Ovis aries: one gene and its partner. The protein of the gene in region 2 purifies or fractionates together with the protein of the main gene of each other region. This does not show direct contact. Links are inferred from orthologs where the notes say so. Each region holds a gene or a part of one and is shown on either strand. Other genes may lie near its edges.

Evidence for each region.
Region 1: the proteins of SPSB2 (region 2) and CUL5 purify together in Homo sapiens (affinity purification with mass spectrometry; 4 studies listed by BioGRID and IntAct, counting the BioPlex papers as one, with this or other methods). This does not show direct contact. The link is inferred for Ovis aries from reciprocal best matches to the Homo sapiens genes SPSB2 and CUL5.

Annotation. Positions count from the first base shown.
Region 1 is NC_056068.1:17,272,220-17,276,579, reverse strand, and holds the start of CUL5 (cullin-5), read right to left. Parts: upstream 2,878-4,360; 5' UTR 2,449-2,877; coding exon 2,425-2,448; intron 1-2,424. UniProt on the Homo sapiens protein: Core component of multiple cullin-5-RING E3 ubiquitin-protein ligase complexes (ECS complexes, also named CRL5 complexes), which mediate the ubiquitination and subsequent proteasomal degradation of target proteins.
Region 2 is NC_056056.1:209,407,834-209,412,057, reverse strand, and holds the start of SPSB2 (SPRY domain-containing SOCS box protein 2), read right to left. Parts: upstream 3,071-4,224; 5' UTR 1-3,070. UniProt on the Homo sapiens protein: Substrate recognition component of a SCF-like ECS (Elongin BC-CUL2/5-SOCS-box protein) E3 ubiquitin-protein ligase complex which mediates the ubiquitination and subsequent proteasomal degradation of target proteins.

The DNA of each region.
Region 1 (4,360 bases), on a different chromosome or scaffold from region 2:
CTTCCCCTCAACCTCCTCCAGACTTTAATTCAAATGACCCTATGAATTCTGGTAAGGGTCTCCCTGCCATTTCTCCAAGACAAACTTCCTACTTTTTCATTAAATATTTCTAAAGGCATAAATACAAGACAACCCCCGCCATCCCCCCCATCCACACACTTCAATGAGGAGAGAAAAAAAGGAAAAAAAACTTTTCTGACCAATGTAAATAAGGAAACTTTTGGTGATACAGATAAAAGAATCAAATGTCTACTTATAATATCCACTGTTAGTTGTATGTATTTAAAAATCACATACTACATAAAATATTGAGAAATTCTTTTACCCCCTTTTCAACATCTCATTAAATAATTTTATTGAAAATTTTCCAGTGTATCTGTCATCTTTTTGTATTCCCTAGAGACTGTGACTTTTACCAGTTTTGTCAGAACATTATCACTTTCCTTTTATTTATAAAAGTTGAGTTACAGAACTGCTCGAATTATGATCTTTTTAACCTAAGTCTTAAGCACCTATTTCTATACATTCAGGTGTTTTCAGTTTATAGGTGGGTGTGTGCTATACATACAGATTCATAATCTCTACAAGGTAACGACTTAAGAGTATTGAACGAAGGAGCTTCAGACTTTTATCTCCTCCAAACAATGCTTTGTAAGGCTTTGTATGGAGTAGAATAAAGTGACTCACTCTTTCCTGAGACACAAATCTGGGAGGAAAAAAAGACTTTGCTTTACATCCACATTATCAGTAAGTCAAAAATTCACAATTACTTCTTCAACACATTTCAATTAATAACATACACTATTGGTTATGTAAATACATGGATACATTAACAGGAGTCTTTGCAAGTTAGTTTTCTTTCTGAATTAATATATTAGAACTTTGCTATACTGCTATAAAAGAAGTGAGTTACTCAACTCCCATGAACTTGTCTTCTTAGAGAAACAGCAGTAGTAACTGTAGCAATTTATGTGTATTGCATGCCAGTTAAGATCCAGTCGCTGTTTTAAGATTATACATATACTAACTCAATCTTCACAAAGTTCCTATGAAGTAAGTGCTATTGATAATTTCACTATATTGATGAGGAAACTCAGGAACGGAGAGAAACTTGCCCAAAGTCATGGAGCAGAAATTCTAAGTAGCAGAAATTAGGTCTAGTTCTAGGTCCCTCCCTCTTTTAAAAGAAGACACGGGGTTGGGTAGGAGGGGAGGGGCGGGGCGGGGAGGGGCGGGGGCGGTGTATATATGTTTGTTAGTTGCTCAGTAGTGTCACTCTTTGTGACCCTCTGAACTGTAGCCGACCAGGCTCCTCTATCCATGGAATTCTCCAGGCAAGAACACTGGAGTGGGTTGCCATTCCCTTCTCCAAAAGAAGACACACTGCCTCTAAAATTAGTAAAATTAGAGGGACTAATACAGTTAGTATCAGTAGTCTAAAGAAGACAAGAGTGAGGTTACAGTAAGTTTTAATATATTTTCTATTCTCTATCAACACTGTCTGAAGGCCTAATTGACAGGGTTTTTGAGGGAGAAGTAGTTCATCCACTACCCCCATTTCAGTAGTACTTTTAAGGTATAAAGTATTGCCTACTACAAACATACCACAGACGAAACTAGTGTCAGGTCTTCCTCCTTCTCCTCTCAACTTTGTAACTGATGGTAAAGAATCCGCTTCTCTAGGCCTAGATCCCCCTTGCTATCCCAAATACATAAAACTAACTTTAACGGTTGTCTTTGATAAGGCAACTTTCCTAAGCCCTAAGACAACGGCAGTGCTTCCACTGTAGTCATCTGGTTGCGTGCTGTAATGGGGTTGAGGAACAGTTTCCTAAGTTAAAAAGGGTAAACATACGAACTCAAGAAAGGAAGAACAGAAGAGAAGGTGTAGCCCGCAGTTAAGGGAGGGAGTTGGGGCTTCAGGCGCTGCCGTCTGACTTGGAATTCCGCGCAGACAGAATGAGAAGAGAAACTGAGGAGGTGGGGATCCAAGTCATTAAAACCTGTTAGCAACATTTTCTGGGATTTTCTTTTCTTTTTTTTTTTTTTAATGCGTCTCAAGACTCCCGCTTCAGAAGAAACTGAGACCCTAAGGACACTAACTGACCGATCCGTCAGGACGCTGCACCACCTTTCTTCCGGGGTCCCGAGCCAGCGCTGGCCCCTTGAGACCACTGCCCGCCGTCGGCCCTCGGCCGGGCCTTTCATACACCAGGCAACCGGCACCAGGGACAACCAGGGCCTCTCGACCCCAAGGCCGGAGAATCGCGTTCCACTCCTCGGCGGCTGCCTCCCTGGCTTCCCTTCCGGTAGACAACCCCTGAACACTCCCCCATTTCGCCGCTGAACCAGAACCGAGCCATTCCCCGAGAGCTGAACCCACCGCTCCCGGAGTAGAAATCCAAGACGGACTGAGGGTCTTACCTTTAACAGATTAGACGTCGCCATATTCCTTCAACTTAGACTCTCGCGAGACCGCGCGAGATTTCGTGGAGCTCCGTGCCAGGCCACTACTGCAGGCCCGAGTGTCCCACCTGGGCCGAGGGGCCCCCCGGCCCGCACTGTGGATGTGGTGGGCGCCGGCGTGCACACAGCGCTGACCTCGTCCCTCACTCCCGGAGCTTCCTCGCTCTTCCCTCCCTACATGGTCACCGGGGCCTCCCCGTACGAGAGAGCTCATGCAAACACTCGGGGAGACGGCAGCGGCGAAAGGTGAGAGGGAACAGGAGCCGACCTGAAATCGGAAGAGGAAGCATCGGCTCCACGAGCCTCCCCACTCCTTCAGATGAGCCTCTGTGGTGGCACCCGCAGAGGCCACTGGCAACGAATTTAGCTCGGTTTGGGACCGGCCGCTCTGGTTCGGCGGCCGCGTCACGTGACGCGGCAGGCGGGGCCGCGCTCGGGAGCGAGCGTGGGAGCCTGAAAGCGTCGTGGGCCCAGAACACGCCGCGAGGGCGAGGGGACGCCCTCTGCTGGCAGGAGTATGTGTCTTCCACCGCCGCGTGCTGTGGGGAGGTTACGAAAAAGACGTTATCCTGAGTGAAATGCTTGTAATAGCTGTTTTCAAGAACTGGCGCATAGAAGGGCCCCAAGAAATATTTGTTTGCATGAATCAATGAATCCATGCACGAACGTGTTAACTATTAATATTTCTACTCAAGAGGGCCTGGCACTGAAATAACCTCTAAGAGGTTGATCAGGTATACCAGCACATCCTATACCCTAAGACCCCTACGCTTTATCACTTCAGACCTCAAACCACTGGCCAAATAAAGGGAATATAATTTATATGTAGAATCTACAATATACCTGTGTGTGCTTTTGAACTGTGGCATTGGAGAAGACTCTTGAGAGTCCCTTGGACTGCAAGGAGATCCAACCAGTCCATTCTAAAGGAGATCAGCCCTGGGTGTTCTTTGGAAGGAATGATGCTAAAGCTGAAACCCCAGTACTTTGGCCACCTCATGTGAAGAGTTGACTCACTGTAAAAGACTCTGATGCTGGGAGGGATTGGGGGCAGGAGGAAAAGGGGATGACAGAGGATGAGATGGCTGGATGGCCTCACCGACTGGATGGACGTGATTTTGAGTGAACTCCAGGAGTTGGTGATGGACAGGGAGGCCTGGCGTGCTGCAATTCACAGGGTCGCAAAGAGTCGGACACAACTGAGCGACTGAACTGAATTGAACAATATACCCAGTATTGTATTCTACACATTTCCGAACTGTTCATTCATACATAAAATGTGAGAAATAAGTTAGAGCTATAGAGTCCCTTGGACTGCAAGATCCAACCAGTCCATTCTGAAGGAGATCAACCCTGGGATTTCTTTGGAAGGAATGATGCTAAAGCTGAAACTCCAGTACTTTGGCCACCTCATGAGAAGAGTTGACTCATTGGAAAAGACTCTGATGCTGGGAGGGATTGGGGGCAGGAGGAGAAGGGGACGACAGAGGATGAGATGGCTGGATGGCATCACGGACTCGATGGGCGTGAGTCTGAGTGAACTCCAGGAGATGGTGATGAACAGGGAGGCCTGGCGTGCTGTGATTCATGGGGTCGCAAAGAGTCAGACACGACTGAGCGACTGAACTGAACTGAATAGAGTAAAATAAAGCAGAGAAGAGGAATGCAGTTTTAAACAGAGGGATCCAAGTAGATCTCACTGAGAAGATGGCATTTGAGCAAAAAGACTTGAAAGCGGTGAAGGAGAATGCCAGGACATATTTGGGAGGACAGCAATGGGGGGAGCACAGGTGGCAAGTTGCCCAGAGTTTCAGAGGAACAGTTAGTTAGAAGGTTAGTGTGTTTAGAGAGAGAGTAAGAAGAGCAGAAGGCCTTTTCGGGCCTTGTAGACCAC
Region 2 (4,224 bases):
AGATAGCTTTACCTCTTCCTCGATACTTTGGCCCCCTGATGGGAAGAGCTGACTCATTGGAAAAGACCCTGATGCTGGGAAAGATTGAAGGCAGGAGGAGAAGAGGACGACAGAGGATGAGATGGTTGGATGGCATCACCAACTCAATGGACATGAGTTTGAGTAAGCTCTGGGAGTTGGTGATGGACAGGGAGGCCTGGTGTGCTGCAGTACATGGGGTGACAGAGTCAGACATGACTGAGCAACTGAACTGACTAACTGACTTCATCGATTTCTTGCAAATGAAACAATACAGTATGTATTCTTTGTATTCTTTTGTGTCTGACCTGTTTTTTCCTCAACATTAGGTCTGTGAGAGTCATCCATGTTGTTGCATGAAATGATAGTTGTTTGAATATTCCATTGTAAGCGTGGGCTTCCCTGATGGCTCAGCAAGTAAAGAGTCCATCTGAAATGCAGGAGACACAGGAGACTTGGCCCGGGAAGATCCCCTGGAGGAGGAAACGGCAACCTACTCCAGTAATCTTGCCTGGAAAATGCCATGGACAGAGGAGCCTGGTGGCCTACAGTCCATGGCGTCAGAAAGAGTCAGACAAAACTGAGCCCAGGGCATACGCATGTTGTATGGATATACCACAACTGTTTCCATCTTTAGCTACTGTGTATAGTTATCAGGAGTCTTTTAATGGACCTAGGCAGCTCATTTTTGTTGGGGGCATACTTACGTGCAGAATTGTTGGGTTACAAGGAATTACAATGTATAGATTTAACCACATGTAATTTTCAGGTTTCTCGCCACAGAGGGATTTTGTTCAGAAATGAAATCGTTCAGTTATTTACAGCATGGAACGCTTTAACAAGTTTATGAAAATTTGAGCTGTTCCGTTCTTTCTCTTTATCAGTTCCTCAGCTTTTTATTACTGGTTTTCTGTTCTTCGTGTATTTCAGTTTCTCCCACAGAGCCACCACGATCCACTTGCTAGGCCACTCAGTGAGTTTCACTTGTCAACAGAAAACCCTTAAAGTTCTAAACACATTCTTCCCAACATGCAAGGACTGTCTGAGGTTTGTTTCCATGCCTGCTGAATATAAAAGATGCAACTGGAAATATTGGAGCATCTTCAAATTGTTCAACTCATGACCACATTAAGCCCAGCATCAGCTCTCCCTGGCTCTCAAGGAGGAATCTCAGCCTCATGCATGTGACTTTGAAACAGAACTTCACGCTTACAGCAGAACGAAGGATGGGGTGATGTTAGGGGGAAGAAAACTTCAATGCCTTTATGAGCGCATTCATAAAGCGTGTGGGACTGCAGAGTGGTATTGCTGCCTGTGAGCGGCAATGACAAAGCCAAGGCCTTTCTCTCTGATGTCCAACTTAGCTTCTAGGATGTAGACTGTAAAAGCAAATCAAGAAAAATACTGCAGCTACCCAGGACTTTGCATTTGAAATGCTGGAGTACAGAAGAAAAAAAAAAAATTTTTTTTTTAAGGACACTGGGATTTGTATCTTTGTAGAACTCTCTGGCTTTATTAAACACACTGCTTCACTGCCTCCAGGAAAGGAGGTGGAAGAGGTGGTCACGAGCTCATTTTGTTGTTGTTCAGTCGTGTCTGACTCTTTGAGACCCCGTAGATGATAGCCTTCTTTATCCATGGGATTCCCCAGGCAAGAATACTGGAGCAGGTTGCCATTTCTGTCTCCCGGGAATCTTCCTGACCCAGGGATTGAACCCGACTCTCCTGTGTTGCAGGTGAATTCTTTACTGCTGAGGCACCAGGAAGCCCCCACAAAGTCTTTCCTTACTTTTAAACCAGGGTCTTGAGCTACTAGTTTGGAAACATAAAAGCAGTCGGGCAAGTCCCCCTCAGAAGATACCAACCTTGCTATATTCTGGGGGACAGCGCTTTGGCCAATATTTCTTAGTAGTCCTGGGTAGGTTCCCCCACAGATACAGCCTCATAAACGGTTGGAACATATCTGGTTTCTAAACCTGTTATGCCATCCTTGGCTAGTTGTGAAATTCTTCCATCCCAACGCCCTCTTGTCTGGCCGAAGCGTGAACTATGACAAGGCTAAGTTTTTCTTTTTCCTTTTCTGCCATGTATGGCCATTGTGAGGCACCTATTTCTGCTTCATTTCTTCCAGGAATAAGTTTAGTGTGTTCTCATTCCTGATTTAAGATTCACACGTACCTTGCTGTCCCTGTAACAGCAGAAGAACCTGATGACCTGTCTTCACACATCTATTGAATCTCAATTGCACGTGTGATTTCTTGAGGTCATACTCCTGTGCCACGTTGGAGATGGCCCTCGCTAAGTAAGCCCATTTTCCTCCCAGCGCGGGAAGGAACTGCTGCTTCTTTGGGTGGGCGCCAGATGAAACTGTTAGATTGCCTTCAGGTGGGTCGTGTTATACGGAAAAGAGGCAGCTTAAAAACACTAGTTTGAAAAGCAAAACACTAGAACCGCAGTCAGGCTCAGGCCCAGGGCCAAGGGCAGAGTCCAGTCCCACCGTCGGTGGGGAGCAGTACCTGGAGACCTGCCACCCTATTTAATCTGAGAATTGGTGTGTTTGTGTGCAGACTCCCGTGCTCAGTCGTGTTCAAGTCTTTGCGACCCCTTGGACTGTTGCCCACCAGGCTCCTCGGTCCATGGAATTCTGTGGAGACACGCAAGAGTACTGCGGTGAGTTGCCATTTCCTCCTCCAGGGGAAGCTTCCCCACCCAAGGATAGAACCTGTCTCCTACACTGGCAGGAGGATTCTTTACCGCTGCGCCCCCAGGGAAGCCCTGAGAATTGTTGAGCTCACTTTAAGTGTGCCTGATGCAACCCCATCACCTCTCATTTAATCCACACAACTAAGATGGCCCAGTGTTGACAGGTTTATACACTGGGTCTCGGAAAGGCTAACCGACTTGTCTGTGACTAGAGCTGGTAAATGGCAGCGTCGGGACTCAAAAAATGAAAAGCCACTGCGCCAAACCCAAGGGTGGTGACCAAATGGCGATTGCTGGTAACGCTCCCAGCTCTCCGAGCCAGACGCGCCACCCCCGCCGCCGCCAGGGAACCGGTTATGTAACACGCGGGGGCGCGGACTCCCGGGGGCGGCGGTCACGTACGTGGCTATCTGCGCAGGCGCGGGGGCCGGGCGGCTGCAGGGGCTCGCGCGCCCCCTAGCGGCCGCAGCGGTGACGCGGTCTCCGCTCCGCCCGCTCCCAGTGTGCTGCTTTGCAGCTTCCGCCCCCGCCCACATCCCTCAGGCGTTTGATTCTGGAACATTAAGCGCCGGAACAAAGGCCCCAGGGCGGAACCGAGGGCCTTTAAGCCACGGCTGCACCTTTGGACTTCAGAGGGGAGTAAAAGAGCTGGTGCTTCCGCAGATCCGCTTATCGAGGCTAACACCCGGAGTTTTCGTACCTATAAAGGGCTCCCTTCCTCTCTCCCTCAAGAAACTGTCCTTACCTCGCCATCTCTCTCTTCTTCCTGTGGACAATATCGCTCTATCTAGGGATCCTCACCACGGGAGAGTCTGTGACCTCCACCTGGGAGGTGCGAGGCCACAAGTCGCAGACAGCCAGGTTATGCTAAAGACTGCAGCCTAAAGGAGCTCGCCTGTTATAAAAACCACCCTCTCAAACTCTGCAAGCCTACATCAGCCTGTCATTAAAAGTCCTGCTTGCCAAGTCAATGCCCGTTTGTTTATCATTGGTAGTTTTTAAAAGACTGGCTCAAGATTGTCTAACTTCACCTTTATGTCCCTTAAGGCCTCCACTTTCCAGTGACTCATAAGTGAGGATATCCGCTGGCTGGTCCTTCCTTTATGCCTTTATGCCTTCCTTTATGTCAGGGATTCTTAAAGTGGAGGGAGGAACAGAGAGGGGTGTCCTTAATTACTTTTGAAAAGCACATTTACCATTAGTTCTGGGGACATCCCTGGCGGTCCAGTGGTTGGGGCTCTGTGGTTCCAAGCAGGGTGCACAGGTTCAGTTTCCTGGTCAGGGAATTAGGATCCTGCATACTGTGCACGAGCCTGGCTTAAGACAGCAAATAAAGAAAAATTTAAAAGTTTCTTCAAAAAAGTTACTTAGGAACATGAAATTGTGGACTTCTCTGCTGGTCCAGTGGTTGGGGCTCTGAGATTCCACTGCAAGGAGCCAGGGTTTGACTCCCAGTCCAAGAACCAACAACCCTCACACCGTGCTGTGTGGTCACATATTTAA